4 linked regions of the Struthio camelus genome follow. The protein of the gene in region 1 interacts with the protein of each later gene in a pairwise test. Links are inferred from orthologs where the notes say so. Each region holds a gene or a part of one and is shown on either strand. Other genes may lie near its edges. The genes, in order: HMBOX1, FAM161A, AEBP2 and MFAP1.

Region 1 (7,926 bases):
GTTAGCCACACAAAAAAGTTGTGGCTGTCACGGGGTTAAACAAGAATTTTCATATAAGAGAAAAGACACAGCATTCCCAAATCCCAGGATCACGGTTTACACACGCAATATCAAACCCCACTCTTCAGAGAGCCCAGTGCTCCTAGAACATGCAGATAACAAATGCATCCCAGCCTTATATTCTTCTATCCATCTCCCATTTCTCCCCTACTTCCCTCCCCAACCTGTATCTCAGAAATGTTTTCTTCACAATTTGGAAGAGAAATGGCAAAAAGAGAGATGCAAAATGTAGACTTAAATTAAGTTTGCTCTCTGCTGTTGAAGGATTTGGCCCAGGCGTGACAGGAGGAAAAAAAACGTTAAGAGTGATAAATCCATATATACCTACTCCAAACTACACCCGACATCCCAAGAGACATGGTATAATGGTAAATAAATATAGATGCAGTTCCTACTAATGAGGCAGGGTACAGCAAGGCCAAAGAAAATGCAATCATCTCAGGAAAAAAAACTGCACAGGACTCCTCCTCTCCCATCCATGGAGGAAATCAAATGCCAGCTGCACCATCCCAGGAAGGAAGCAGAGTCCGTACCTGATGAGCCCTGCAGAAATGAGCTAGTCACATATCATGGGACGCAGGCGGGCACTTCAGGGTTTTGCAAAGCCCACAAATTATCTGCCTAGCACAGGCCATTTCTCCAGTATGGTATATTTTACATGCTCTCATTCATGCAAATTGTAGTTTTTCCACCAGTTTCCTTCTCCTCCATCCCCATTAGTTTGAAGCAGGGGCACGTAGCCAGCGTCTATCAGAGCTGCTCGGACCGTGTTCTCAACCGCGTGCCCTGGCCATCAGCTTAACGCTTTCTTCCCTGCCAAGTTTAAATCTTCCTAGCTTTAGTTCATACACGTTTTGTACTTAAAGCCACTTATCCGTACCTCTAACGTTACTTAAGCTTGAGAACAAATTAAGATATACCTGACTCTACGAAGAGCAAACAGGCTTGCAATCTTCATTTCCTCTTCCTCTTTCCCTCCCCCCTAAAAAAGCATTTTTTTCTTCCCTATATATGAGGGGGCAAGGAAAAACAGTACACATGATCAAGGGTTTTTTTTTTTTTCAGAGAACAAAAAAGCCAAAAAGAAAAAAAAAAAGGTTTCCAAAAAAGTGCTCTGCAAACATACCAAGAGATACTCTTTAAAACAACTAAAAAAAACCCATCAGACGAAACTGAGCCTGGAGAACTCAGCGCAGTCCGCCTCGCGTAGGTTTCGCCCGTAAAAACACTCGTGGCTCGTGTCACTTTACCCCCCCGAAGCAGCACGAAACAGTTCAGCAGCGTTCCCCACCGCTTCTTCCAAACCGTCTGGGGGTCAAACCCACTCTTCTCCCGAAGAAGATCGCAGACAGCAAGAACGTTTACGCCTCCCCCGCCCCAAAATCTCCAGAAGTACAAAACCACCACGCGTACGACACCCCACCCAAGCTCTCCAAGCACATTTGGGGAACGACTTCCCTCCGGGTCCTCCTCCTCCCCCACCCACGTTAAAACTCTCCAGCAACAAGACACCCTCCGGGTTCACGCCTTGTCCCCCCCCCCCCAACCCCGGCAAAGCGCCGGGAGCAGCAACAGATCTGCCCGTCGCCGGCGGGGGCCCCCTCTCCCCTTCTCACCCCCAGGGCTTAACCGCCCCCCCCCCCAAAATAACCCCTCCGCTGGGGGGGGGGGGCGATCCGCCTCGCACACCTTCCCCCTCCGGCCTCCCCCCTCAACCCCGAGGTAACTGCTCGGCCAAAGTGCTGCCGAGCCGGGCCAGCACCCCCCCCTACACCCCGCCCGGAGGAGGGGGGGGGGAGGAGGAGGAGGGTTGGGGGGGGCCCTCGCCGCCCCCTCTCACAGGCGACGAGGCGGCAGCAGCCCAACCCCGGGCTCCAACTCCGGCAGCAAACAAACAAAACAAAACACACACTCACATTCCCCCCCCCCCCCAAAAAAAAAATAAAACCCCACAAAAATAAACACACCCACCCAGCCCGAGGGGACTCTGCCACCGCGAGTTCTTCCCTTCCCACCCAAGGAGGGTGGTGGTGTGTGTGTGTGTGGGGGGGGGGGTAAATAAATAAATAAATAAATGGAATGAAATAAAAATCCCAGGGAGGAAAATGGAAGGGCTCCTCTCCCGTTTTAAAAAACCTTCCGAGGAGAAGCGAGAGGCTGCCCTGCCCTCCCTCAGCAGCCCCCCCACCCCAGGCTCCAAGGGGCACCTTCCTCCGCCGCTCCGCGGCTTCAAGGAGACGAGGAGCCACCCAGCTCCGCGGCACAAAACTCTGCCGGCGACAAGCGGCGCGGGCTGAGGGGCCTGGCCCGGCCTGGCCTGCCTTGGCCCGGCCTGCCCCACCCGGCCCCCCCCGGGCTGCCCCCTCGTCCACGCACCTCCTGCGCTGCCAGGGAAGCCGCTCGCCCGCACGGCGCGACTGCCCCACAGGCAGCCTCGGCGCTGGCTGAGGCGGGGGTGGGGGGGACCCTGCGCCCTCCCTCCCCTCCCCTCCCTCCTTCCAGCCCACCCACCCACCCGCCCCCTCCCCTCGCCGCCCCTACTCTCTCCCTCCCTCTTCTTCTCCCCGGCCCCACACTTTCCTCCTCCCCACAAGTAACACTCACCTCTGGATCCGGGCTCCTGCGCCACCTCACCATTGAACAGCGGGAGAGGGGGGGGGGGTCCCCTCCCTGCCTGCCTCCCCCGCCCCGGCCTGAGGGGGAGCTTCGCGGGGGTGCACAGGGACGAGAACAATGCGGGGGGGGAAAATCCCTCGGCTGCCAGATCCCCCCCCCTCCCCAACCCCCCCCCCGAGGGAAAGAGCACCCCTCACCCCGTCTCTCTCTCTCTCTCCTTCTATCTTTCCCTCTCGCTTGCTCTCTCTCTCTCTTTTTTTTTTTTTTTTTGGCTCAATCACACCAGACTGACTGTCTTTGTCTGTCTGACAAGCGCCATGTTGATATCAACATCCAAGCTCCCACCTGCTGCCGCTGTGAGACCCTGGGACTTGTAGTCCCCCCCTCCCCAGGGTGACGGGGAGAGCCGCGGTCCCAGGACTACGACTCCCAGCGTGCCTCGGGGGCACGGCGCGCCGGCGGAGCGCGGGGCGAAGCGCGGAGCGGACTACCACTCCCGGCATGCCTCGGGAGAGGAGGGCAAGGTGGAAGAGGGGGGCCATGACTTCATCCTGGGCGGGCGGCCGGACTTCAAGTCCCATGATGCTCTGGGGCGGGGTGGGGTGGAGGGGGGGCTAGGCAGGAAGCGGGGTGGGGGGGGGGGCAGGATTGTCCCAGTAAATAGAACCGGGTAAAGCATGAAGCTGGTGAGTCCGTGTAGTTAGGGGGTCTGCGGGGGGGGCCTGCTTGGGGGACGTAGGTAAGGGTGGGAGGGGGGGGCCGCCATGCGGGAGATCGTGGCGTTGTGGGGGGAGGGCGGCCTCAGCCCCCCGCTCCGCGATCCGGCCGGTGCCGGCCCGGCAGTGACCGTTAAACGGTCGTCGGGGAGCCGCCGGGGAGGCACCTGCGCGTGCTAAGGGGCCTAGGCCTGAGCAACCGGCTCTCCCTCTCCTTCCTCCGCCACCCCCGGCCGCTCACCCCGCCGGTGGTTTTAGGGGCTCTCTGCGTTTTGGGTTTTAGATCAGGTTAAGCGGTAGCGGGATTTGGAGGGAAGAGCTGTTTCTTCATATCCTCCTTGAACGTGAACCTCGGCTTGGAGCAAGACAGGAGCTAGCCCGTTGCACGTGTGGCTTCCGCTAAATTACTCTAGAAATATTAATAAATCTCCATGGTTCATAGCAGAGGTCATATCCATGTTTTATAGTTATTATGATAGTCACGCAAATAAGTACTCAGAAGAAAATCATCCTGGAATAGCTTTGTCAAGGGCGCGCTATGATTATGACAGATATTTTGCTTTCAATAGTATAATGTTTTAAAGGGAAGGTTATTAGAAAAGGCATCACTCCGTGTTATTGATACCCACTGTATAAATCTCCTTTTTCAACTATTTAAGTTTTCCAAGGTATTTGGATTCAGCCACTGATTTATTGTCCGCTCAATATGCTGCAGTTCTTTGGAAATGAAAAATGAAACAGCTTTCAAAATTTCTGAGCATTACATTTGATTTCTTTAACTTAAAGTTACACTACTATTAAACCTGTTTTAAGGAGAGACCGATTGTCTCTCCGTTTTGAAACTCTGCAGTTTGTCTTGAGAAAGCTTCATAGAAGTGGACCTGGATTCTGGGCTTCTTTTGTGACTTCTGGTAGATCACTGGCTGTGGCTAACTGTGTAAAATTAGTTCAGTAGACAGGTGGCTGAAGAGCTTGATCCTGCATAATCTTACGTATGTGATTAAGTCTCTGTGTGTGCATGAGTACGACCAGTGGGACAAACTGTGCAAAGCTAAGCAGTTCTCTACATGACTGTAAAGATCGATATAAGGCACAACAAAAAGCAAGCTGAGAAATCTCCAAATGAAAACCATAGTGGAAATGCAGAATTCTTTGTTCTATCCAGCCACTGAGAAGCAAAACCCATCCTATTCTTGTACGAGGGCAGAGAGAGGGAAGAAGTGGGAAAAATGCAAGCTATCTGAAATCTATATTGTAACAGTTTTAGACCTGCTTACAAACTTGGAGGTCAGGAGCATAAGACCAGGTTCTTCATCTTGTGTTTGTCTGGAGTTGTGCCTGAAACTTGGGGTTGTGGAGGTAGGAGTTGGGATGGTATTTCATCCTCTTTTGTCATATATTTAGTCTGAATTTGGAAGAACAGGATAGAGGAAACAAGTCTCTGGACCTGATTCGGAATCCAGTGCAAATGAGAGACTCCCACAAATTCTAACGTGCTTTGATTCGGACAAATCCAGTTGCAAAATTCCCCCTAGACTTTAGGCTAGCGTGTGATAACATTGGAAAAGCATTGCAGTCTATGTTGGCTTCAGTTGTAATTCAAAGCACTGGCTTTAACCTGCGAAATCTTCAGTATTTTGGAGTGGCTAGTTTGAGACATCATGTCTTTTCTCTGTCACATTGCCATATATGAGATCACCAGAGACACTCAGAGCTGGCAAGTGCTCAGCTTGAACCAGCTGTCTGCTGAGAACCTTTCTCTATGAGGGTTTTAGTATTTGGAATTAACCCCTCGTCTTGGTCTCTTTGCGCCCCACTCAAGATTTTCATCAGATTTTCATCAGATTTTCATCCAATTTACAAAGCCTGCTGAGAAAGTTGTGAGCGGAGATGGGCGTATTTATAGTATTTTGTACATATTTTGTGAGCTTTTTCCACTGCTATTTTTTAATTACGAGTATAAGTACCTGTTGTGTTAGCTGCGCTAACCTTCAGTCATAATGGAAGAAAGATAGAAGAAAGCAAATATTAGTGCAAAAAGGACTTGTCTTTTAGTCAGATCAGGAATATTAGATCTCTGGATCTATTTTAAGCGGTAACAGCTATAATCTGTGTGGGAAATAGTCCGTCACATTTATAGTACATATAGAGATATGTATAATGCAGGCATTAGAATTCCTGAATTCTTAAACAAAAATTCTAATTGTACAGGCCCCGAAATACCACATGTGCAAATAGCTGTATAGCATATATGAATTACTTTATGGTTTTTTGGTCGCTTTACATGAATTGAAAGAAAGAATCCACTGACTCTCAGGAATCCACTTACCACAGCTTGACAGCAAATATAGATTATTGTAGATGCTGTTAAGGAAGAAAAGAGGAAGATTTTCCAGTTAGCTCGCAAATGTCAGGGTCATGATCCTATTCATGATTTAAAAAAGAGCAAGAGAGTGCTTTGCTGATAAAAGTGGTGATATTTTATTGCTTTTTTAATTAGCGATAGTTTAAAAGCTATAAAAATAGTTAAGATCCCCCCCCCATTTCTTTCTATTTACTTCAGTTGTACCTTCAGCTGTCAAAGTTCTGGTGTGGTGAAAACATAATTTCGCATGTGTATCTTGCATTCACAAAAGAAGCAGCTGAATTCCTTACATATATATAAGGAATACATATATGCATATGCATATATGTATACCATATGGTATACATTCATATGGTATACATATTCCATACCTATATCCCTTACTCACCAGCTTGGTTTCTTAAGGTTTTCTTAAATTATGCTAACAGCAGGCAAACATAATGTTGCTTGTTAATAATTAAGGCTTTATGAATTTTAAAACAAAAGTCTTTGTGATTATTTTGAATGTACTATTTGGGGTTTAATAGCTTTTTAGCATTTAAATATAACTTAAAACTGCTTTTTGAGGAATGTAAGTAAACAGTCTCCTTGGGAGTTGTTAATCCAAACAGTTGCAATTCTTTGTTAATGTGTGATGAGCAGAGGTAGGGAATAAAATGATTAATCTACCTCCTTTCCACTTAGCAGAGTGGAGCGTAGGAAGTAAGCATAAGGTATAAATGACTTAGAAAAATGACGAAAACTGTTTTTATAGTCAAAGCAGTACATGGACAACCAATTAATATTTTAAATTCCAGTGTGGTTGATTGGGGTTAAAGAGCTAAGTTTGACCATCCGAGAGTTGCTATGCTGCCAGATGCCCAAACGTTAAGATGCAAAGTGTTGTATTCGAGATGCAAAATCTCCTGTTCTTGCAATCCCTGAAGATGCATTGAATCTCTTGCCAAAGAGAAACCCTCATGCTAAGGTGGCCACACTCTTTTTGAACATTTACTTCTTTACTCCCACTTGTTAAAGGCGGCATTTTTATTCACTTCTCTTCTTATTCAAAGCTTTAGCTGCTCCTGTTCATTGTTAAATATTTGCCATTCTCCATACAAGAGGTGACTGCATCTGGATGATGCTGAAGTGCCCCTGTACATAACCTGCTTACTGGCTCATTAAGCTTGGAAAGCGTTTGGGTTTTTTCAGTACACAAACCATTCCATTCAGGTAGGGTTGTCTGTTCCCTAGTGTTTCCTGTTTGCGTTTAGCAAGACAAAAAGCAGGTGAGAGCATGCCCCAGAGCTGCTGCTGCTGCTGCGCACATGCACAGTTTCCTCTGCTGAGCTGGCTCAAGGAGCCACAGAAGGTGTGGGCTGCTCCTTGTTTGTTTGTTTAGCCTGGTTTCTTAAGGAAGTAAATCTTGTGATGCTGTAGGAGTTCTCTCCCTTCTCTTTCCTCCTCAAGTATTTTTTAAATTCTCTAGCCAATTTCAGGCAAGTTTTGCCAGTAGGACTGAGTTTTAAAGATATTAGTTTCAAAGGAATTTTGTGAAAATAGGTGGTGTTAAAGAGGGAGACTCTATACGTGTCCTAAAATAGAAAGAGGGGCTATGTCGTTCTCTCACCCTTTGTTAAGGATCAGAAAACCTGGACTGAAGAAAACCTGCCTCGTAATACCCTGGCATGGGGAAAACTTCAATGAACACATACACAGCTATGAGACACAAATTTGTGGAAAACTAGATTTCATTTTGGCGCTCATGAAACTACCTCTTGTTTAAAAATTAGAAAAAAGGACTATTTTATGGATGGTTGCTATGTTGATAAAGATCATGATTAACTCATTCTCATATTCTTCTGTCAGTACTGCCTGTCAGGACATCCAACCTTACCATGCAACGTACTCAAGTTCAAATCTACCACCATCATGTTGGATTGCGGGTTGGATATGACCTCTACCCTCAATTTCCTCCCATTGCCACTGGTTCAGAGGTATGTTCTGCGGCCTGTAAGCACTTAGTCTGTGTCTTCTTGGGTTGCAGCTGGAGTGCTTTGTGTGAAATGGTGTATTGGGAGGAGGGAGCGGATGAGTACAAATGAACAGCATCATCTGATATCATAAATAGACTTTGTTCACTTAAAAATTCTCTTTATCAGAATAACATCCTTTGGCTCAGTAGACGGA
Region 2 (7,874 bases), about 120 Mb from region 1:
TCTTTTAATTGCATTTTCCTAATTTCATTCCTTTGCTTTTCTCTTTCGATGAATTTAAATGGCTTCTGAGAAGCCAAAAGCATAAGTTTGCTTCTCTCTTTCACACATTTCCTGCGTTCTTCGTTCTGTTCCGCGATTTCATGGTAGAGCGGAAGGAAGACGGATGCTGGCACTGGGTTGGCTCGGAACTTTTTCTGACACTCTGCCTCTTCCTCTAGTTGCTTCTTCAGTAAGTTATTTTCCATTTCAAGCTGTGACTTTGATTTGACATTCTGTTCTTTTTTCCTGGCTTCCCTAATAGTCATCTGGAAAGGCTTGGGCACAGTAACTTTTGGGGACCATGCCTTCTGCTTCTTCCTCATCATTCTGAATGCTGGTGAGCTTGGTAAGCTGTGTTTGGTGCGGGGGACATAGTCTTCCACAGAGAACCCGTCCCACATTTTTTCAATCTGCTGCTTAGCAAACGCTGATGATCCAGTTTCACTACCATTTTCTTCAAACACTAATTCACTTTCAGACCCATCAGATATACTTGAACCTAAAGGATCAGTTAAGTCAGACTCAGAAAAGGATCTGTGCAAATTTAGAGGCTGATATGAGCTCTTCTCCCAAGTTGACCTGTAAAAAAAATTGTTTTGAGTCGAGTCCAGCCAATATTGACACAAAGCCAGTGATTTCCACTTTCAGTGTCACGAAGATAAAATGGATAGAGTTGCTGGGGAAGAGGAGAGAGGCAAGGCAAAGGAAAAGAGAAGAACATGGGGCATTCACTCCAAATCATAGTTGTAAAGTAATTTAGATTAGGAATAAATCAGCATTTCTAAAGGAAAGGCACCATGCTTTACTAAACATGCTGCCCAGTCGCAGCTTCACACACACCCCTGTAAATCTCATAGTTCATTAGCAAGGTGAGTAAGCATTTTTAAATATTAAAGCTAGCTTTTTATGATTATCTACTTATCGGAAATGGTAACTTTCCAGCTTCAGAAAAAAATTGCCATACTTACTGATGTCTGCAAAGCACTTTAGAACCTTCAGACAGAAGGCACCACCAAACTGAAGATTATTATTAAACTTACCTATAACATATATTAGGAGCAGCATCTTTTTTGTCCAAAGATTGTGCTCCTTTTAGGTGTAGTTTATTCCGATACATACTTTCTAATTTCGCCATGGTCTCCAGGTGGGCGTTCTTCAGTTCTTCTAGCTTCAAGTAATATTCTTGATTTGAATTGCACATTTTGGAAAAGTCCATCCACTTGTCACAGTTCCCATTTACAGAGGTCTGCTCTTTGTCAGTATTTGAATCCAAATCAAAACCATCCTGGAAGAGATTTTTGTCAAGTTTTGTGAGTGTTAGAAGAAAGGGGACCGAGGTTCATAATATCACTTTATCTGATTAAGTCCAATGAATGGTACAGTAACATCAGAGATACATATGTACAGATTTGAATGCAACATTATATGGAATAGCCTTATTGTATAATAATTTATATACTAAGGGTTCTATCTAAAGCATGTTAAATTCTTAACAGTCTATCCCTGTAATCAGGATATTATATCAGGAAATAAGATCAAAAGGAGTTATTAAAAGTATAACTTGTTTAGCACTGTAATTTTTCCTTGGTGAATTTTTTCCCATGGTGAAACATGCAGCTTAAAAAACCCACATTTTTTAAACAAACTTCTCTGCCTCTCATTTTCATAAGTATTCTCATAATAAGTCATGTGGTATCTTTTGCATAAATGTTTCTATTATTATTTCACAGTGAATTGTGGAAATGGGAAGTATTTTGCATAACTTTCACTTTAAATAGTGTTTCCGCCAGCTTGCACTTTGGGGCAGGTAAGCACGTTCTTTAAACATAAAGCTTGAACAAGTCAGAGAAGTAAGTATTATTAAAAAAGGCTTCTTTTAAGTCATTTTTTGGGCACTATGTTTTAAGAAGTTACAGGGTTAATTTCTTCATCTAAACAATTAGGATAATACTGTTCCACACAGGTATTTTAATAGGCTTTTACATGCCAACCAAAAAAGCCTTGTTTATGTTTTGTCATGTTTTCGGTCCAAAAATCTCAAACTTGTTTTCTCCGTAACGCAGCGATCAAACATAAAGCGAATGCCATGATCAAATAAATGAATTTAAAAAGCTGTTAAAGCATGCCCGATGAAAGGCACCAGCTGAATCTTCCTGAAGCTGTTTCTTTTGACACTGTGTATGCCTCTCTCATTTCAGTTCTTCATCCACGGAAAGACCCCGTCTTTTCCCTCAAGGCAGGCACCCCGCTTCTTCAATCCGCTCTTGGATCCCTTCGGCCCGACGAGCTCATTAAGAGCTCTGCGCCGGCCCCGGCAGCGCAGCACGGCCATCTGTTCCGCGTGCTAAATCAGGCAGATCTCGTCCCCTGCGTCTGCTCTTCCGCCACGTCACTGGTAAGGTCTTCAAAAACGGGAGCTTCCCAGGCTATTTTTACCCCGAGAGCAGCAGCAGCAACGTCGCAGCCAGGCCCCGGGGCGGCGGCGCTCCCCGCTGCCGGCGCAGCTCGGGCTCCGCAGCGGCTCCCACAGCTCGGCCGCCGCCTCCTTCGGCAGCCCCTGCCCGCCGCCCGCTTACAGAGAAAACCCGTCCCACCCGCCTGCCCCCCCCCGCAACAGCAGCCTTGCTGCTGCCCAGCGCCGCCGCCGCCCGCGGCCTCCCGCTCCCGGCGCGGCCCCGCGGTACCTGCTGGGGGGCGGCGGGGGCCCGCGGGCGCGGGGGGCGGAGGCCGGAGGCGGCCCGGGGCGCCGCCGCCATGGCGCCGGCGGCCGGCCGGTTGCGTGCGGGGGGAGAGCGCGGTGGCTCTGAACGCAGACTGCTGCTCTCCGCCCGCCAGCGCCGTTTCTGGCTCTTGACGGGGAGCCGGCAGCGGAGGCTGCTGGGGCCCGGCGGGCTCCTGCCTGTTGGGCGGGAGCCGCGGCGAGGGGATGGGGAGGGGGGGCCCGCCGCCCCGCCGCGGCACGGCCGGCTCCTGCCGCCCTCGCTGCGTCTGCGCCTTCGGCGCTGCAGGGCGGGGTCGGGCCGCGGCCGCCGAGCCGCTCGGCCTGCGCGGCGCCGTGGCCGAGGGCGCCGCCCCGCGCACCGGCCCGGCGGCGGCGGCTCCCCCGCGCCGCTGGGCTGCCGGTGCCGCCTTCCAGCTGCGAAACGGGCATGACCGCGAGCCGTCACGTGCTAGCGAAGAGACACATCAAATACTGCATTGAAATTCGTGTCTGTTCAGTCTGAGGGCAAAAAAAAAAAAAAAAAAAAAACCCACCCAAACCCACCATTCCTACTATACAGACTCATCTCCTAGATAACTTTTTGCAGGATTTTTGCTGGAACGCTGCATTCTCTTTCCCAAACCCAGTCTCCCCCCTGCCCCCAGCTCGAATTATTAAGCACTCTGCTACTTTAAGAGCAGTTCCTACTTGAAATGAGCAAATAGTTGCAGAATAAGGGTAAACTGGGATCATCAGGAATACTCTTCCACTTCCATTAATGATGGCTGGACCTATTTATTTTAGTGAAATTACAAGTACTTTTTAATGCAAAGAAACAGATGAAATGATCACATTGTACAGGCTAGCTGTTAAATCTTGTCAAGAATTGGAAATCTGTGAGGATTGGGAAGGAAAGCTCTAATCAAGAATTAATACCTGAACTGGATAGATCAGTTTAAAAGACTGGCCTCATTGCTGGGAGTAATCCTGTGAGGTAAGGCATAATTCATATTTTTAATTAGCCAATAAATCATGCATACAGAGCTTAAAGCCTAAATCAGTTAATTTGTCTTCTTTTTAAAATATCTGAATTATTCTGAATGATATACATAGCCATAAAAGTGATGATTTCAACTAAACCTGGTCAACACATTCAGTAACAGAAACTTCCTCAAAAGCCACACATCTGATTTTGATAGCAAATAAAAATGCAATAAATTTTGGGAAGAGAAATAATCTCGTTTAAATATAAAGAAGAATCTGATCATCTCAATATAGCAACGAAGAGGATTACAGCATTAATTCAGACTTTCATCCTAAGAGTTAGAAGCAAGTTGAAATATTTTTACCCTAAGCCATAAAATGTAGTTAACATTCACTCTAAACTGAATGAATCCTGATGTAGCCAGGATTCTCCTGTTAGCCAAGGTAAAACCACTGCAGTGCAGGTCACAACCCTGCTAACAGCTCAGCCCCATGAAGTGACCCTACTCATCCTGTGTACGCAGTGCTAGCTAACGCACTGTCCAAGATGCGGCAAGACCACGAAGCTGCCTTTTCGAACAAGAGTACGTATTTCCTCCAGGTATTAATAGAATTTAGGATGTATTTGATGAATTGCTTCTTAAAATAGGGCAATTTATCATTTGACTTCCCAGCCTGTTTTGGGAAAATCAACTAACTGTTGCAGTGATCTCACACAATCTTACCATTTACTTTCACAGCTATTAACCCTTTTCTTAGAAAGAGTATAATCAGCCTTGCTGCTGGCTGTCAACCTCACTAACATTCAGGGTATGTGTGTGTGCGTGCGTGCGTGCGTGCGTGCGTGTGAGAGAGAGAAGTACCCAAGATGTTCAACAAGGCCTCAGTCCTGGGCTTTTCCCAGATAGACCTGTCAACTTGAACAGGATGATGGAAGTGACCAAAAGAACAGGAAGAGCTAAATCTTGCAGCTGTTTCAGAGAGATTCTTCAGTTCACCGAAACTGGTTTTAAATAAAACCCTATTAATAGAGTAGTAATATCAGTTATTATCCCTGCTTTTTTAAACTAGATTTAGCTTTGAGATTTACAATTCATTGTTTCTACACTTGCTACCTCCTCCAGCATTTTATAGAGCTACATGGAATTCAGAAATCATGCACGTACCATGCTTATTTAAGTCTTCAGTGCCACTGTTGCCCCCATGAGTTGTGCAAGACGACTTTCAGTCCTTCTCTAAGTACTAGCTATGAGTGTTAAGAGCCCGACAATTTTTGTCCAACAACAGATAGCCAATATTCAGAGAGGACCTGGCTAGGATTTTACCTCCTTCAATCATGCAGCCAAGTGCTAAGGAGACCATTTTGTTGTTGCTGTGGTCAATCTATGAGCAAGGCAGGTCTGAAAATGAGTTTTTATTTCCGTTTGTCCACTTGCAGATATGGAGACTAATGTTTTCTCAGATGGATGAAGTACAAAGAAAAGAGCGCACTGAAAGACTTCTTTATCATAGGGTAGTACCAGGGGCTAACATATACTGCAGGGGAAAAACTATAGTGTGGAATTTTGTATTCTTTGGTGGTAACAATTCAAAGGGGTTTCTTCAGTCTATCTCTAGTAAAATTTAAGGAAGAAACACCCTTCCCTTACAAGTAACTTTTAGAGATGCACCTCGAGGTTATTATGGTAGTGAAGAGTTAATTCAAGGGCCTTTTCAGAATCTAGATAAAAGCTAATTATTTGCTGTTAAACTTTTCAGAACTAAAGAGCATCACGTAGCACAGAAAAGCAAATGTAACACTGAGAAATATGTTCTTATTCCTGGCCCTTTTAAGGGAAAAATTCAGGTATGGTACTATACTGTGACTGATAAAAAGCATTTGCTTTTTGAAACCAAAGATTTTATTAAATTAACGTGATAAAAGTACGTAAGTGTTTGCGGACTTTAAGACGATTCACATAGGCGTTTTGGGTGAGGAAACCATATTCCAAACTACAGGGAAGGTACTCCAGGGCAAAGTCCCATTTCCTTTATTTGTCTTACCGAGTGTTCACCTGCAAAGAATTAAAAACAAACAAACAAAAACAAAAACCATTACTTCTAAATCTCTATTTAAATGACTAGAAAATGTAGGATTTTTTAACTTCTTACTTTAAGGTACTGTATTTATATTATTAAAAGCAATCTGACTTAGTTTTAATTACCGTTCTACAATTTAATTATCATAAGCAGTTGCTAGAAGACTGAAGGGTCAAGTAGCATTTAAACTGAGAATACAGAATGAAACATTTTGAAATACAGCAAGTTCGATAACAGTAATTTTTCTAGTGCTTGTGTAAACAGCAGGACATAAGCAGAATGTGCTGCAAACATTACTCACCACATCGTCAATCTTAAGAATACTGCGCACAGTTTCTGTTGCGAGAGTCAGTGCACTCACGGACACTAGCAGTGGCTGGACTACCAACTCCTCCAAGATGTTGGAGATCCCACCCTGGAAGAACGAGTAGCTTGCTTAGTGAACGTGAGATAACTTGTTAAAGCTAACTGTAACCTTTTAACAGAACCTTGGAAAGGACGTTCAACTTCAATCATCAAATAGCTATTCTGTTCTCTGGAACAGGAATATTACGGCATAGGTCTTCTCCCTCTGAGTATTTGACGAATCCACTCAAAATTAGCCAAGAGAACGACAAACATAGCGGTGCTAGCTTAAACACAGTGGAAAATATACAAGCAAGTAGCTAGCCTGCCGCGCTGCTAACAACGCGTTCAAGATGAACGCAAAACGAACAAAAAAACCCTGCTTTATCTAACTTTATTCTTTAGGGAATGCATTCTAAACTCATTTAAGAATAAATTACTTAAGGAGCTGTTATCAGGTTCTGACAGCTGTAAAGATTTAGAAGTCTAAATTTCAAAAGTAATCCTTCTTACTCTATTCACCCTATGCCACTGCACCTATTTAAACGCGGGTATTTTTAGGCTGCAATTCCAGCACTATTTGTTCTTACACCTGTGGACAAACTCCATGTTTTACAATGAATATATTTCACAAAACTGTTCTTCGTGAGTGAAGACAATCAGTTATCCCCCTCATACACCACAACTAAGTTTCTCAAAGACTCTTTTGGGACAGCCAAAACTGTTTCTTTCCACGTGCCAGATAAATCCCTGGAAGGGTGATGTTAATGTCACAATCTGCAAGTGCTCAACTGGAGAGTAGTACTTGTTTCTTTCTACAGGGGAAAGGGTCTCTAAAGCTGGTTATTTTTTCAAGGGCTAATCTCATCATATAAGCACTGTAGATAATACTGACAAAATATTCCACCTAGATCTGTTTTCTAGAAGTTGACTGCAGGAGACTTCTGTTCTAATAATGGTTCTGAAGCAACAAACGACAAGTGTCTTGTTCTAGGTGCATGGCATTTAAGTATCTGCTATTATCAATACCCAAGATGGTTCTTAACGCCTGAAAGAGCAAGCTATGATCTATCCCAACACTATAATCTTAGGGAGAATACAGCCATGAGACAAATTTGGCATTTCCTTATTTCAGCCCTAATGCTTAGCATTTTCCCTTTAAGATACCCAATGTATTCTCTAAAAAACTCTGCTGTGCATGTATGATTCCTTATTACCTTTCTGACATTAATGCCAGCTGTTTTCTCTCCTTGAGCATGTCTGTTTCTCAGCTCTGTAACCGTTGAAATAGGATTGAGGCCTGCATTTTCAGCCAGTGTAGATGGTATGACTTCCAGTGCGTCCCCATACGCACGGACACAGTACGAGTCCATACCGCTCAAAGTGCGAGCATACTCATTCAAGCGCAGTGCTAACTCTATCTCCGGTGCTCCACCTCCTGCAATTAAAGCTCTGAGAACAGAGAAGAAAGGAAGGAAGGAGGGAGGGGGGGGAGGGTGGGGGGAAAAAGAAAAAAAAAAAAATCAAATCTCATTTTAAGTGTATAAATGGTTAGCTTTCTGTATTATTAGTATGCTAAGTCACTATTTGACAAAACTAAGATGTTACCTTTTCTTAACTAAGCATCTTATGACACACAGGGCATCATGAATTGAACGCTCAGCTTCTTCTAGAACAAGTTTGTTGGATCCACGTACCACAATCGTTACAGTTTTTCCAGGGTTTG
Region 3 (7,825 bases), on another chromosome or scaffold:
TGCTTATCTGGCTGACCCTTTAAAAGGCACATGCTATTTTCTGACTCACTGCCAGGGAACAGCAGTCATTTGGATCAGTAGGTCAAGCAAGTAACTTGTTGGGCTACATGTAGCAAAAATAATAAGGCAGTCTACCAGGCTGCAGCAAGGAGTGCACCTAAAGTGAAATTTTCCATCATTAGGAATAACAAATGGCATTCTTAGTAGTATTGCTCTTTACCTGTCCAATTCAACTAACAGGCTTGGAAATTACAGTGAAGTGTCTGTGAACTACAGTGCCTTCCTGGCATCCCCATGTTTTCCGCCTAGAAGCTCAAGACAAAACTTTACGAAGATTGAAAAGAAGGTACAGTCCTTATTTAAACAGCTGAATACAAAGGATTCACTCCTGCAAGTGAATCTGTACCAATGGTATTGCAAAGGAGCAACAAAGAGGTATACACATAGATATAACTATGTCACTACAGCAAGAGAAACACAAAAACAATGATAGAGAAAGAAAGTAGGACACTGGCTTTAGAGTGCACAAGCAAGACATAACATCAACTCTACCACCAGAAAACCCCGTGCAACTCATTTCTGTTATTTTCTAAACTCATAATTGGTCTGGACTCGGGACAGATTAGGATCAGATTTAGATTAGGCGAAAACTAAGAAAAGATTATCTTAAAACTCCACTACGTATCTGCTGTTTTTTCCAGAAGCCTACTCCCGTATTTATGTGATTTCATGTAAAATCTCAGCTTTCACACACACAAAAAAAGCTTTCTAATCTTGCACAGTATGGAGAAAAGAAAACGTGGCCCCAGTGAACCCTAAAGTCTCAAAAGTCAGATGGAAACCAAAGAACTGAATTTTTTTCCTCTGTAGTCTGAAGACTTTCAGGCCAATTACATGGTTTTGGGGAACTGACTCACAGGGGTTCTCTTTAGTTGTTTTTAATAACTGAGGCTAGATCTACTGACGCCACACTTTTGAAATACGGGTACTTGTATAGGTATACGGAATTCAGTCTAATGTATTCGGAAAATACGTATCTGGACCAAGACACACAATTCTTCACACTTTAACAATGAACTTGTCTTAAGAAAAAGTTTGTTTGATTTAAATCAGATTGTAGTTTTTACTTAACTGTAATTCTAACAGGGAAATGAGATACTTTTTTTAGGCCAAACTGAGATGAAAAATAGCACACTAGCTTCTTAAACTGTTTGAAAGGACAAACCAGAAAAGAGACCTACACTATTTTAAGTATCCTATCTTCAGCTTAAGCAACCTATCTTCAGCTTGTCAACTAAACCATAGCACATACATCTGAAAAAGCCACTAGATAAACCACAGTCTTTAGAAGTACTTGACATAATAGACTAGACAATACCTGAAAGGTAGAATTCAATCACGTGCAAGAATTTGTGCCTTTCCACAAGAATTAAGCTAAAGTCTCAGTACAAGAAAGATGATCCAAACCCCAAATAATCTTCACATTCATTGCTACAGAGATAACTTTTACATTTGATTATTACGCCACGCTTAATACTGTGCAGGCTTATTTCTTGTGCGTGCTTAATACTGAAAGACTAGCTACCTTTTTATTTTGGAAAAGCTATTTTTTCCCCCTTGCGCTTGAAAAGATTGACATTCTGTTCGTTCGTAGCACGGAGAGGCTCACACGGGCGCAGGCAGAACAAGCCCACAAAACACTTCCTACCCTTAAGCTTTAGGGCATCCCGCCTGCCCTTCAATGCAGGACACAACCTCAGCATCTTCCAAAGAGAAAACACCAGCTTCCAAGGGAAATAACAGCCAACCACTACCGCCTAAGCACACGTTACTCCGTGCTGCTCGTAACCCAGCGGGGCACTTGCGGCGGTTATCAGCGAGGCACCTACCCAAGTGAGTGACTTCTGCAGCAGCTCGGCGGCTCCCTCGCAAGCGCGCACGCCCCGGGTCGGCGGGGCAGAAGCGGCAGAAGCCCCCGAGGGCCCCCGCAGGCCGGCAGGGCCCGCACAGCCGCGGCGAGGCGAGGCGAGGCAGGGCGAGGCGGGGCGGCGGGCCGGCTCTGCCCCGCCGCCAAGCCCCGCACGCCGGGCGGCACAAGTTGGCCTGGGAAACCTGTGGCTGCCGGCCGCCGCCGCCGCCGCCCCGCGGGCGGCGTGACAGCCCCGGCCCCGCCGCCGCCGAGATGGCGCCCGGGGGCCCCCGCGGGGGAGCCCGGGGCCGCGCGGCGGCGGGACATGGCGCCCGCGGCAGGGCCGCGGCCACCGGCGGAGCCCAGCGCCGGCCCTGGCCCGGGACGCGGAGGGAGGCACTGACCTGTCCTCCGAGTCCATGCGGCTCAGCGGCTCCCCGTCCGACGACATCTCCAGGCTGCCCCGCCGGCCCCCCGACGTGGCGCTGCAGCTGCTGCTGCCGCTGCTGCCGCCGCCGCCGCCGCCTCCGCCGCCGGTGCCGGTGCCGTAGCCCTCGTCGCCGCCGCTGCTGGACACGCTGCTGGAGCTGCTCCCGCCGCCGCCGCCGCCGCGGCCCAGCCCGTCCTCCTGGCTGCCCCGGGGGCCCTTGGGCTCCTCCTTGGCGTCGGCCTCGCTGCTGCCGCCGGGGCTCAGCGAGCGGGTCTCGTCGCTGCAGCAGCCGCTGCTCGTGCTGCTGCTGCTGCTGCCCACCAGGCTGCTCTCCTCCTCCTCGCCGCCCTCCTCCTCCTCCTCCTCCTCCTCCTCTTCCTCCTCCTCCTCTTCCTCCTCGTCGTCCTCGTCCTCTCCGTCCCCGGCCTGGCTGGCGCTCTCCGGGCTCGGCTCCGACATGCTCTCCGCCTCGCCGTTCAACAGCAGCAGCGACTCTGCCTCCGCTGCCGCCGAGGACGACGGCGACGACGAGGCTCCAGCCCCGGCGGCGGCAGCGGCCGCCGCCTCCTCCTCCTCGGCCGCGGCGGCGGCCGCCGCCGCCGCCGCCGCCTCGCCGGGCAGCAGCAGCAGCAGCCCCTCCGGCTCCGCCATGTCGCTCAGAGCGGCCGCCATGGCGCCTGCGAGTCGCTGCGAGCGCGCGCGCGCGCGCGCACGGGTGGGGTGGGGGGGGAGAGGGGGCGGGGGCGTGCGTGTGTCCCGGGCGCGCGCGCGCGCCCGCCCGCCCGCCCGCTCGCTTGCTCGCGCTTCCCCCCGCCCTGGCCCTCCTCACCCGCACAATCGCGCGGCGGCGCGAGCCGCAGAGAGGAGGGGCGCCGGGCCGCCCGCCGCTGCCGTCGCCGCACGCGCTACGGCGCGCGTCCGGGGACAAAAACCTCGGAAGGGCGGAGCAGTGGCTCCTCGCGTCGCGTTTCCAGAGGGGGCGAGGGAGGCGCGCGGGAGGGGCGTTAACGGCCGAGCCCGCCGCGGGCGGAGGGGCGGGGCTTCTGCCTCGCTCCCAACGGCTCGCAGCGGGCGCGTCATCGCCCGGCAGCGGCAGCAGCAGCAGCCTTCCCCTCAGAAAAATCACCGCGTCGCGGGGGTGGGCAGAGCCGCTACTTAGTCATAGGCAGGGGGAAGTCCCGCAGGACGAGCCCGGGAAGGGAGAACAAGTCCCTCCCGGCCGCGAGTTGCGCCAGCAGTCTCGTCGCCTGCCCTCACTGCCCTCACTCGCACAAATAACCCCAGCGGCGCGGCAGCCCCGGCTTCACTGCCGCAGCAGGCTCCTCATCTTTTTAAAAAGCTGAAGTTGGGTAGCCCGGTAGTTGTGGGTAGCCGGCTGGCCGGCCAGGGCAAAGAGAGCGGGAACCACAGCTGAGAAAAAAACTTAGCGAAATTTCTATCCATGAAAGAAAGGGGAAGCGGAGGAAGCTGTAGGGACGCCAGGCCTGACTGGACTAATAGTTACTAAAGGGAGTCGGAGGAGGGGACAATATGGAGCTTATGAGAAAGGGAAAAACAAGGCTCCTCAGCAAAGAGAGCTACAGGGTACAGGTCAAGATGTGACATTACTGAGTGGGAATTGTCAAAAGACAAGCTCAACTGAGGCACAAAGGAGACAGAAAAAGGTTTTCAGCAGTACGGAATGGGATGAAGAAGTAGGCCAGCTATGCAGTGAGGGGGGAGCAAAGAGAATAAACTCGGTATGGCCTGAAACCTCCATCTTCAGTAAGGAGCGTGTTGGCTGTGGGGGCATAAGCAGTATGACTGACTAATGGCAAATGCAAAATGGAAATGATTGCATTTAAGTGGAAGTAAAACTAAACAGTTTAGTGTACTAGAACTGGGGAAACTGGATAATCTCTTTTTGATAAACCAAGTTTCATTTTGGAGGGACAGAGATTAGTAAACTTGTTAAGTTTGGCTCTGTGCCATCTAGTAACAATATGTGGTGCATGTATTTAAGAAGGAAAGGTGAATGATAAATGAAAAGATGATTGTCAATCACATACAAAGACTTCAGAACAACTGAGAAAGGCATTTTAATGTAAACATAGAATGGGATAAAGTTTACTAACGTTAGATCATGTCAGACTAACCTGACTGGCTATTTGACAAGCGTTTTAGTTATGTAGACATTAAGAAATACTTGATAAAATTGTCATGTGGAAATGATTAGAAAAGGTTGATAGGAGGGGGATTTGCAGTAAAACAGGAAGGTGGGTAGAAAAGGAAAAAAAAACAGATGAAATTAGGCAGTTTGACAAATTTTTAGAGGGATGAGGGGAATAATTGAATGCATAACATACCATTCCATATGAGTTTTAGATGTCACATGCACATCTTGTCAGTCTTTACCCAACTCTTACAGAGCTTGCCACATTTAAAAAATTATGAAGTGGTGGTAGTTTAGTTTAAAAGCAATCAACAAAACACAGAACCACAACTCAATCCAGAAACAATATTGTGCAAACTGCATAATAGGAAGAACATCACCAGTTCAAGTTACAGCAAGCGTATCCGGCATATCCACAGAGATCCTACATTCAAGCAAAAGTTAACCGCACTGGGTTAAACTCTGGAAAGGGTGCTCCTAAGACCTACATTAGCATAACTGGAGTTGTTTTCTAGCCCATCAACAAAGTAGTTGTTAGCAGCAACGTCAGCAATCTCTAGCGCAGCAACATCAAAATAGAATGTCACGGTAGTGAAAGAGCAACACGGTACCGGAGCGAAGGGACAGGGCATGGAATTAATTTTAAAGTCAAACTAACAACATCTTTAATGCGCGGATGAGTATAAGCAATTTTTTTAAAAAACAACAACAGTAAAAAAGTCATGATAGTTTTTCAGATTTCTAGAAACCAGACTCAGCCTGGAATGGAACTAGTCTAGAAAATGGAACTGGTAAGAATGCTTAAAATGAGCAGGTAGACAAGACTGAAGATGAGGACTGCTTGATCCCAATTAATCTATTTAATAGATGTATCATTGCTCTACTAAGTCCATTAGAATAGTCACCAAACTCTCAGCTTCTGCATCATCTCTGCTCGCCCCCGTTTCCCCACCTGAAACAATTTGCTCTATACCTCCCCCTTCAGTTACAAAGGTGTGGCACTCCTGCATGGCTGTTACTGTCACTAGTCCCATCACACAGTAAGAGTGAGGTTTAGAAGAAAAAGAGAACCCTTTTGACTCAGTCAAAAGGCAGCAGTAACCAGAACAATTCCTATGCCTCTTTACCCATTAATTCCTTTCCTTTCTAGAGTTGTCTAAAGGTCAGTAGCATTGAGGGACAGAATCAGAGAGGTACCAGGTCATGAGAAACCAAAAACGTGTAATGGAGCTACATAAAAGGCACCTTTCACAACCTATGAATATGAGCAAAAAAGGAAAGAAAAAAAAAAAAAGTTATTTATCTGAAAGAACTCCATGTACCTTAGTGTACATTGTCCAAATACATTCCACAATATCAAATTTCTATACTCTTTTTTTTTATTATCCGTCTGGGTTTCTTGAGGTCATGAGTGCCCCCAAGGTTCCTCGTATTTGTTATTTACCAAAAGCATACTGGCTGATTCAGACCTCTCACTTTTCACTCTCCTAAGTGGAGCAGTAGAGATGCCAGTTCATTAGGTAGTCATTTGTTTATTCAAAGAGGGCCAGTGAAATGAACCTCAGGGCACAAATGAATAGGAAGGACAGTATGGAGTCTGCCTAATGGAAAGCAGTTAGCATTTAAGCAAGAGATCAGTACCAAAGGGGTTAGTACTGCAGCAGTCATCAAAGGAATACTCTTTGATGATCTCTTGGTGTGCTGTTCTGTTTTCAGGACCACCAAATCCTCAATCCAGACTTGGTGCTTGAGCACTGCAATAAAGTCAATCAAATACAAGCAGCAGCAATGGTGACTTGAGTCTCTTGTTATTGAAGTTTTTCCTGTGACAAATTTTCCAGCTTAGCAAAGGCAATCTCCTTTTTCTCTATGGTTTTTGACTTTTTGAAACCCTGGCTCCAGTCTTGAAAGAAGAGCTCTGTGTGAGAACAGGTGAGTCTAGAACTTGCAAAAGCATCAAAATTAGTTATATTTAAATGGTCTAATGAAAGCTCAAAGCAAGGGACATGCTGTTAGGAAATCCTTTAGGAAAAAAAGAATTTACACATCCACTTACTTACACTGTAAGGGTGGATGTTACTCTCTCATTCACACAAAGGGCTGCCGGTATGCTCGGTCTAACTTGGTATGATCCTATTACAACAGAGACAATACTTTAAAGCTGAAGGACTTATGATGAGACATGCTAATCTCTGGTACTCCAAAGATATTCTCAACAAGGTACAAAAGTAAACAAAAGTCAGTAGATAAGCTAGCTAAAGCTTGTTCGTGGTAAAGCGTCCAAGCAGAATCCTTCTCCACTAGCAGAAGAACAAACAACAAGCTTAACAAATCTCTGAGAGAGATTTATGTTGCATTGCAGACACAGCAGAGCAGGGAGAAGAAATTAAGAGCATACCTGTTATTGTCTTACCTCAGGAACACAAAGGTGCAGGTGCATTCACTTTGACAGCAGAGTCAATGATGAGCACGCGCACTCCGAAAAAGTAATTTCTTTTCTTGAGTCGCAGCAACTTTGCAGGTTTTTGGTTTTTTTTAAAGGACACTTCAGTGAGATCATCAGAAGTAGCTCAGCTTTGGTACTTTTTATGCAATGTTTTGAGTTTTTTTCCTAATGTTGATCAGCATCAAGATACTCTTATAAGGTATAGTATGCAAACAAAATATTTCAAAACAGAGAGAAAGGTCTATAAAAAGAGAGGGAAAAAAATACCATAGGCATAAGATACAGGAAAAATGACAGCCTGTCTTGTACTTGTTAGAATGCATGGGGGAAATTCTGTAAAACAAGACACTTGGTCACTGACCTCTTTTCTCCTCCTCCTGCCTCCGCATGTATGTCTTAAACACTGCAGGAAATTCCTGCTGCCTGAACCTCATGACTCACCTTGCTCACAATAATCTGCCTGCTCAGCAGCCTCTGGACACTGCACCCTTCCCTTTGTGCCCCACCCTGCCCTGTCCAAATCCAAGGTCTCGAGGAAGAGGCTGCAACCTCCCGTTCCTTCAGCTAAGCATCCAGCACTCATTTCTCACCCTTCTGTTCAGACCAAACTGAAACTACCTCATACCTCATCCTTCAATTGCATTTCTAACCCCACCCTCTCCTCCAGCAGCCAGTTAATCCTCCCTTTAAACTCCCTGCACTCTTTTTCTTTTTAAAGTTGCCTTTAATCTTTCCCCATATTTGTTTAGAAAGCAGGGCAATGACCATAAGAAACATCACGTCTCAGTTAGGTTGGTTCGAGGAAGCCTGCTGGGAATGCATGTTTGCCTAGAGTCCCTCTTCTATAGCCCCATTAGGCTGTGACCCAAAGCTGAGGCTGTAGACTAG
Region 4 (7,821 bases), on another chromosome or scaffold:
GCAGGACAAAAACCCCTCAGAATCAGCACCTCTCACGGCAATGTTTCGGGACAATTACTGTTGCAGAAAGCCTTTCTAAGGGATTGCATTTACTGACTCCACAGCGGAGCAAGGCCACCCTGAGGGTGGAGAGGAAATGTTTTGGATGCTTTGTCTAGGTAAGAGTGTGCTGTCAAAAGCAGGCCTGAGGAAGAGAGGCCTCAACCGTCAGTTGGCCTGCAGGGTGCAGGGCCTGGGCCTGCCGACGCTCAGCCACAGATCTAAGCAGAGACAATACTTACGCTTCTCGTTCTTCACGATCCCGCTTGATACGCTTCAGCTCACGTACTTTCCAGGCCTCGTACTCCTCCTCGTCGTTCTCATCATCTGTATCAAGTGCATCCAGTGCTGCCAGCGAACGCTTGTTCTCCTCCAGTTCCTTCTTTGCTTCCTCTTCTACAATCTGCAGCAAGGGTGAAAGTAAGCCTGCTGCAGTGCCCACCCTCCCTGTGCCACCCCCAGCCAGCCCCGCGGTACCTTGAGCGTGTACTTGCGCCTCTCCTCTGCTAGTCTCTTTGCCTCCTGCTCCAGCTCCTTCTGCTTCAAGGCTTCTGCTTCTCGCTCCTGAACCGTGATCCGGTCCTTCCTATAGACAGAGACCACAAAAGCCTTCAACCTTTCAGCGTGAGCCCATGCAGCCGAACCCCTCACAGACTTATCCTGCTCCCGTGCTGCAGTGACCCTTAGCCCTTACTCTCCAAGTAAGAGCCAAGTTCAAGGGCTCTCCCCTTCCTGCTGTTGCCCAAGCCAGGGCAGCCCTGCTAATTCCCCCTACAGCTACAGGCATGCGTGGAGAGAAGAGAGCGCGAGGCACCCGCCGTGGTGCACTACCCTCTGCCAGCTTCCCAGCTCTTTGTACAGCGCTTGCCCAAATGCCCTAGCACAACCCTGCTGCGATGAAACCCACCGGCTGGTCCCACGCAGTGACCTGACACAGCTGCAAGAGCTGCCCGTGGCCGCTCAGCGAACACCCGTTACTCCTCAGCTGTGCCCTGCCAGGCTGGTATTTGTCACCTCCCCTTAGGAGGCAGGCAGTGCTACCGCCCCGCTGTACGAAGCGGAGATCACAGCGGTGACCGTCTGCTTGGCGCCCAGCCGCTGCCTCCTGCATCCTCACACAGGACCGACCTGCCTGACCGTGTCACCTACTTGCGGATGAAGACAGGTTTGAGACGTGGCTCCATTTCATCCTCACTGTCTGTGTACTCCTCATACTCGGACTCTGACTCAGACTCTTCTCCAGATCTACCCTCATCTTCCAACTCCATCACCTCCATTTCCTCGGTCTTCCTCTCCTGCGCTCGCTGGCGCATCATCCCACGGCGACGCTCAATCTCCTAACGGAGGTGCATCAAACACAGAGGAGTCAGTGGAGCAGCCCTGCTACCGCTCCCTTCCCCACAGACTTTCTGCCTCAGGCAGGAAGCCAGTTCCTTTCAGATTCTTTGTGCCAGAAGTGACATGTCTGGAACCTCTTTGTTACAAAAAGATGTTCCCGTCCCTCAGGATGGAAGGTGGCCTCACCCAGCGTCCCACCTCGCAGCAAGAGACAGGTAACCCAGAGTTAAGTCATGGCCAGCTATGGAGTGACCTGCAAGTCCTGAAACTCCCTAGTTTCACCAGATAGCCTTTTCCACACGTACATGGGTTATTCCAGCCTGTGTCATTCAGGGGCTTTCTTAAGCCAAGTCTGTTCAGGTCTGCAAGCATACCTCATCATCGATCTCTTCCTCTTCCTCTTCGCTGGTGTCCTCCCGTTCGAGCCGCCAAGCTTCTCCCTCCACCTCTGAATCGCTGTCTCCAACCACTTCAGGCTCCACAATTTTACGGTGTCTGGCCAGCCTGTAACAGACCCTAGTTGAACTACAGCACTTTGAGCGTAAAGAGACCGCAGAAAGATGGCTATTTGTGAATTGTTCTTAATGAGGCCATAGTAAAAACTGGAACGACTGAGTCTGGGAGTGAAACAGCATGTCCTTTCCTAAAAGGCAGGAGCAGCCAGGCAGTGGCTTTTCCTCCCCATTTGTGTTTTTGGTGGGAAGCCTCCCCTTTACTAGTGCTGAAGGCTGAAGTACCTCTATGGGGGAAGGTAAACAGTGCTCAGATACTTTCTGCCCTGAATACGATTCAGATGAAACCATATCTTCCCGCTAGCCTAGAGAGGTGTCGCTGTGTTAATTTTTATTTCAGAACCCGCTGTTCCCCTGGGCCAGCCAAACCGCTCCTGAACGCGGGGCTGCCGTGACCCTTGGCTTTCAGGGGTGCTCACGGCACAGCGGCGGCCCGCGGCACGATCCAGCACCCGCGCCAACAGCGCTGGAGACCGCTCCCGCAGGGCTGGGAGAGCGCGGCCGTGCTTGGGTGACGGTCAGCGGCAGAGCGGGGCCGGAGGCAGAGGCTCTGGGGAAGGCCGGGTCTCCTCCGGGGGCAGGCGCTGCTCACCGCTCCTCCACGTCCTCGCTGATGCGGTTCTGGAGGCGCCGCAGCCGCGGGTCGTTGGCGAGTTCCTCCTCCTGCTCCTCGGGCTCCACCTCCTGCTCCTTCGCCTTCTTGATGAACTGGAACTCCTCGTCCTCCTCCTCCGAGGACTCCATGGGCGCGTAGTCGGGCCGCTTCCCCGACACGTACCGCTTCACCTTCACCTTCTCCATGGAGAGCTCGCCTGCGGGCGGGGCGGCCGTCACCGGGGCCCGGCCGGCCGCCACCGGGCCCGGGCTTCCCCCCCCCGCCGCCGCCGCCGGCCCCCCCGGTGCCCCGCTCACCCTTCTCGTTGCGGACGGGCACGGCGCCCGCCGTGGACTGGATCGGCGGCTGCTTCATGAGGGCGCTGGGGACCGACATGGTGGCGGCGGGTCGGGACGGGACGGGACGGCGGCAGCAGCGGCGGCGGCTCTGGCGGCGGCGGGCACCCTCCTCCCCCGGAACCGGAACTGCGGCCGCCCCCGCTTCCGGCGGAACCGCCGCCTCCCGCCCCCGCGAGCCGTTGGCCGGAAGTGACGCCACTGGCGGCGGTCACTTCCGGCGCGCCGGGGCGGGGCGGGGGAGCGGCCGGCGGGGGCGGCTGCCGGTGCCGCCTGGGGCCGGGCCGGGGGTGCTGCGGGCCGCGGCGCTGGGCCGCGCCGCCCGGGGGAGCGCCCCCCGCGGGCCGCTGCCCCCCGCCGCCGCCGGCACCCAGGCGACGGGCGGCGTCGCGCCTCGGCGGGCGGGGCGGGGGCGTTCGGCTGCGCCACCTGCTGCGTGTGTTTTCCCCGTGGTCCGCCGGGCGGCGGGGGGAGGCGCTGGCGGCGCAGCGCGGGTGCGGAGTTGCCCCGAAGGGCCCTCTCGAGCGCTGGGGAACGGGGGACGCGTGAGCAGGCCTTTCCTGCTGGCCGGAGCTTCCCTCGGGCCTTGGGGCTCTGGCCCTCCGCTGCTCGGGCTGCGATTTTCTTGGGGCATCTGGTCGCCTCTTCCCTAATCCACGTCCTGGTGCTCAGGGCCTTTGGCTCTATCTAGAGTCTTGGTCTCCGCCTGCTGCCAGCCTTTTGGGTTTCGAATTATTTGCCCGAGGTAGTGTCGCTCTAGATAAAGCACACCATCATGGGGTGAGAGATGACTGAGGCACAGATGCTCACGGCCCCCTTCTTCCAATTTAGTGACTGAACTCTGAATGGAAAAGATGTTCAGCCCGTGATGTAAGTTCCTGCTCCTTCTCCATTTGTGCAGCTAAAGTGGAGATGATGAGCAGCAAAAGCAGAGCCAGCAGCTGCTGTACAGCTGTATGGATATTGGATGTCAGCGGCTCCACGGTGCCACCGTCCCTCTAACTCCTGCAGGGTCTTGCTGAGGCTGTGGGACGCATCCTGTGCTTGGTGGGGCTGCAGAGCTCCTCCTAGCACGGCCAGGGGAACCTGTTGCTCTTTGGGTGGATGGTAGGGTCCGACTGCAGAAGCTGCTGTGGGTTCAGTTCGTGCTGTGCCTGTTGCCAGCCACGCTGGGTCTTAGTTCGTGCTGTGCCTGTTGCCAGCCACGCTGGGTCTTGGGGTTGATGTCTGACCTGAGACAAAGCCTGGAGCTGTGAAGGTTTTTCACTGCTGTGTTGATCAGAGTCTTGTCCCGGGCCCTCCTGCTCTGTAAACTAGCAGCAAACCAAGCCAAGCAGGAGCTTCGCTGCTCGGGTTCGTGTCTTCCCAGGCTGCCAGGACGCCTTCACAGCTCCCTACGCAGCAGCGCTTCTCGCTGCAGCACCGTGAGCACCTGGAGGCTGACTTACCCTGGAGGAGCGGGACTCTCCTGCTGTTCTGTGGGGGGAGATGCTTCTCCCACTGCCACCACTGCAGAACCTCCTGGGGCTTTCCCAGTGCAAGTGACGGGAGGTTTGTGGCATGTGTGTGGCAGGAAGGGCCTGGGGGCGTGGCTGTTTCATAGCAGGGGAGAAAGATTTTCTGAATGTGGCAGGGTGCTGCCCACGTAAGCACGCATTCACCACGGTCATTGCCTCCGAGGAGGTGCTAGAGTTCACAGAGGAAAACGGCTGTTCGGGAACTGATCAGCTTGCAAGAGCTGCCCTGCTTTTCTGTGGCACGGAAAACAAGATTTCTGAAGTAGGGCAAAACTATGTCACAAACCACCAAGCCAACGTCTGCAATTTTGTGCTGCCTTGAAAGAAAGGAAGAGGTTTTTATCTTCCAGGAAACCTAGCTGCAGGACTTGAGCCAGTCTGCGACACATCTCGTAACAGGAATTTGGGAAGTGGGGAGGGATGAGTGCTGTGTTAGCCGTGCGCGTGGCAGGTGGTCGCCCTGCCCAGCCCCGAGCAGGGGCCCTCGTGGGCACGTTGCGGAGGCCACGGGGTGTGATGGGCATTGCTAGAGGTGGATGCCCAGGAAATCCAAAAGCAAGTGTGTTTTCCCAGATGGAGGTTCAGCGCTGGAGCATGCTCCCAAAGGAAAGGCAGCAAACTCTTCCTTTTGGTGTCCTGGGCTGCAGGCTGGGAGGTTTCCTCGTGGGAGGATGTGATTTAGCCAGTGCAACTTACTGTTCTGAGGGAGCGGGGTAGTCCGGGGTGTGGAAGGAAGCGGCAGAAAGTGGTTCTCAGCAGCAGCACTGCCCCTGGGTCCGGGCTCTGCTCGTCGGGGGCCGCGGGGCGTCCCAGGGCTGCTGCAGAGGTCTCCAGGCTGACGCTGCGGGGGATTCTGTCTTGGGGGAGCCTCTCGCCTTGTCCTCGGCCCCTCTGCGAGAGGCGGGGCAGGACCAGCTGGGTAAAGCGGCTCCTGCCAGCGTGGCTAAGGCCCTGGCTGCAGGCCGAGAGCGCGAGGAGGCCCCTGGGCCTGGGGCAGCGCCGCCAGAGCCAGCCCATCTCGCAGCGCTGGCTGCCTGTGGCCAGGGCATCCCGGGCGCAGCCCGTGGCGTGGCGCTGCGTGAAGGTGCTTACTGCAGCGCTCTTCGGTAGCTTTGCGTCTCAGACAATCCCTGTTTCTGCTGGCGAGACCCAGGCAGACCTTGCTGCCTTCGCAGGAGCCTCTGTGCTTACAGGAGCTGGGGGATTTGGCCAGCCTGGCTGCAGAGCTGCGAGAGGAGGAGGGATGGAGCGCTCGGGCAGGGCCCCAGTGCTGTGGGTCTCCCTCGGTGCCCTGCCAGCTTGCGGTTTGCCCTCGCAGACAAGGCATTAGTGGCTTTATAATCCTACAGCAACTGATGCCCAGGAATAAGCAAGAGCTCTCGGTGTTTCTGGCATTTACGTCCTGACGGCAATTGGAGCTCCAGGCCCAGCTCCCTGCTCTGCGTTTGATCATCTGATGAGATATTAATCTTGTGTGGTTATCACAGTGTGTTCCCACCTAATGAATCCAGTGTCACCATGGCAAGGAGTGAGCTTCAACATGTGACTCAGTAGGTGAAACAATTAGACCTAACTGTTAAAGGAGAGCTTGGGAATTGCACACAAAGCACATAATGTGCCATTCAGGTGGAGTTAAAGACCTCAGCAAACAGGGACGGGCTCTCCCTGGCTGGCTTCGGTTCTGGGGGACGGCAGAAGCCTGAAGCAACGGCCGAAAGCAGCCCGGAGCCCGCAGCGTGCCTCCTCTGCCCCGCGTGCCCTTGAGAGCCGCAGCCGAGCTGCAGAAACCGAGTGCTGGAGTCGCCTGAGCTGGTGCAGGGGGGCTGAGGGAGCCTGCTGCGGTGCGGCCTGGCCCTGCCCTGGCCAGGGAGAGCCAGCCCGCGCCGGGCCGGGAGCGGCGGTGTCCTGTCGCTGCTCCTCCCTAGCTGATCCCCTGCGGACAGGGCAGGCTGGCAAGAGCCTGTGCCTCCGGGCAGCGGCCCCAGCCGCCTTCCTCCGCAGACCAGGGACCGATGCCCCTCAGCCCCGGCCCCGGGCGCCAGCGGCGACGTGTCGGCCCCGAGCCTTCAGCCAGCCTGGCGGTCCGCACGGGGCCGGGCTCCGGCGGGGGCGGCGGCGCGGCGCGAGCCTGAGCTGCCCCTTCCCTGCGCTCGCGGAGCCGGGGTGCCGTGGGGCGGCGTGCGAGCTCGCTGCGCCCCGGCACCCGACACGGGCAGCTCCGTTCCCTGCTGCGTTGTCAACTTGCTGGCTAAAACCTCTGCCCGTCAGGCTTTGGACTAAATTTCTTTGTTGAGATCTATGAGCGACCCCCCATGCCTCACTGCAGCCTAAGGAGAAAAAGGGGGTCCTGCCCACGGGCTGGCACGGGTGTTTCCTGCGCGCGCGCACCTGTGTTCCTGTTTGCACTGCTGTTTGTGCTGAGACCCCCGACTGCGGCAGGGACCTTGGGGTGCTCAGGCCAGACAGGGGTGTCCCTTGCCGTGAACAGCGATAAGCTGTACACAGGGCATGAGGTGGCAGGGTGTAAAGCAGCAAAGCTGAAGAGGGGCGGTAGCACGGCGGGCTGCGGATTTGATACCTCGGCGGCCTTATGGCTGTTGACGGCAAAGTCAGAAGGCAGATAAAGTTACAGCCCCCTTCTGAGCCGCCACTGTTTGTGTCTGCAAACTGTACCGCAGGGCAAGGTCAGCGTGTTTGGGGTGGATCTCGAGAATCCCATGTGTGTGACCACAATAAAATGTTATGTCTAGGAGCGTGACTATGAATAGCGCCTCGTGAGCCATCGGGACCTTGCAGACGCAGCTCCAGCCCGGGGACTGCAGCCGCTGCAGCTCCGCACCCTCCTCCCGGCGCGCCAAGGCCGTCTCAGGAACCTGCTGGTAGCGTCCGGCAGTGAAGTGACGTGAGGTGAAGGGGTTGGAGAGATTCCAGAGGAAAGTGGGATCTGCACCCCGAGGTTTGGGAAAGGGAGCAGAACTGTGCAGGAAGGGGGGGCTGGGGAAACGTGTCCGCAGCAACGCGGAGGGCTGCGGACTCAGCCCCCCCCCTGCCGTGGGAGGGTTGCATGGGAGCAGCAGGCAGTGTGGCCACTGCGCTCTAAGTAAATATTTAGTTATTGATTTGGTCCCTCTTGATGTCCTCTCTGTGATGTTATTGCTGTTTGTTTGGTTTTCTCCTCTGTGAGGGCCTCTGTCCTTCCTCCGCTGCCTTTCCTTACGGGAACCCCTAGAGCGCTTCCCTGCTTTGCCGTCTCCGCTCGCCCTGTCGCTGCTAGGCGCAGCTCAGCTGCGGCCCCGTCAAACTCCCCGGGTCACCCCCATGCAGGTGCCTGTGGACGAGGGCGCTTCCCCGTCACTGCTCAGCCTCTCGGCAGCTCGGGCAGACTGGCAGTCGCCTTGCTGCTGAAGCTTGTGCAATCTCTGCAACCAGGACAAAATTTGACCTGATTTTTACATGCAAGTTGA

Evidence for each region.
Region 2: the proteins of HMBOX1 (region 1) and FAM161A interact in binary tests that used the Homo sapiens proteins (3 or more experiments, as listed by UniProt). The two-hybrid records come from large-scale screens. The link is inferred for Struthio camelus from reciprocal best matches to the Homo sapiens genes HMBOX1 and FAM161A.
Region 3: the proteins of HMBOX1 (region 1) and AEBP2 interact in binary tests that used the Homo sapiens proteins (3 or more experiments, as listed by UniProt). The two-hybrid records come from large-scale screens. The link is inferred for Struthio camelus from reciprocal best matches to the Homo sapiens genes HMBOX1 and AEBP2.
Region 4: the proteins of HMBOX1 (region 1) and MFAP1 interact in binary tests that used the Homo sapiens proteins (3 or more experiments, as listed by UniProt). The two-hybrid records come from large-scale screens. The link is inferred for Struthio camelus from reciprocal best matches to the Homo sapiens genes HMBOX1 and MFAP1.

The regions. Positions count from the first base shown.
Region 1 is NC_090944.1:9,668,829-9,676,754, reverse strand, and holds the start of HMBOX1 (homeobox-containing protein 1), read right to left. Parts: upstream 3,012-7,926; 5' UTR 2,665-3,011; intron 2,512-2,664; exon of another isoform or gene 2,437-2,511; intron 1,371-2,436; exon of another isoform or gene 981-1,370; intron 1-980. Other genes in the region: INTS9 (integrator complex subunit 9), read left to right, coding at 3,354-3,362, 7,606-7,733. UniProt on the Homo sapiens protein: Binds directly to 5'-TTAGGG-3' repeats in telomeric DNA. Associates with the telomerase complex at sites of active telomere processing and positively regulates telomere elongation.
Region 2 is NC_090944.1:131,148,226-131,156,099, reverse strand, and holds the start of FAM161A (protein FAM161A), read right to left. Parts: upstream 3,002-7,874; 5' UTR 2,796-3,001; coding exon 2,724-2,795; intron 1,325-2,723; coding exon 1,080-1,324; intron 619-1,079; coding exon 1-618. Other genes in the region: CCT4 (T-complex protein 1 subunit delta), read right to left, coding at 5,764-5,778, 6,105-6,218, 7,366-7,600, 7,757-7,874. UniProt on the Homo sapiens protein: Involved in ciliogenesis.
Region 3 is NC_090942.1:73,482,293-73,490,117, reverse strand, and holds the start of AEBP2 (zinc finger protein AEBP2), read right to left. Parts: upstream 3,012-7,825; coding exon 2,314-3,011; intron 1-2,313. UniProt on the Homo sapiens protein: Acts as an accessory subunit for the core Polycomb repressive complex 2 (PRC2), which mediates histone H3K27 (H3K27me3) trimethylation on chromatin leading to transcriptional repression of the affected target gene.
Region 4 is NC_090953.1:487,439-495,259, forward strand, and holds the start of MFAP1 (microfibrillar-associated protein 1), read right to left. Parts: upstream 3,004-7,821; 5' UTR 2,881-3,003; coding exon 2,802-2,880; intron 2,702-2,801; coding exon 2,482-2,701; intron 1,882-2,481; coding exon 1,752-1,881; intron 1,377-1,751; coding exon 1,189-1,376; intron 626-1,188; coding exon 517-625; intron 443-516; coding exon 282-442; intron 1-281. UniProt on the Homo sapiens protein: Involved in pre-mRNA splicing as a component of the spliceosome.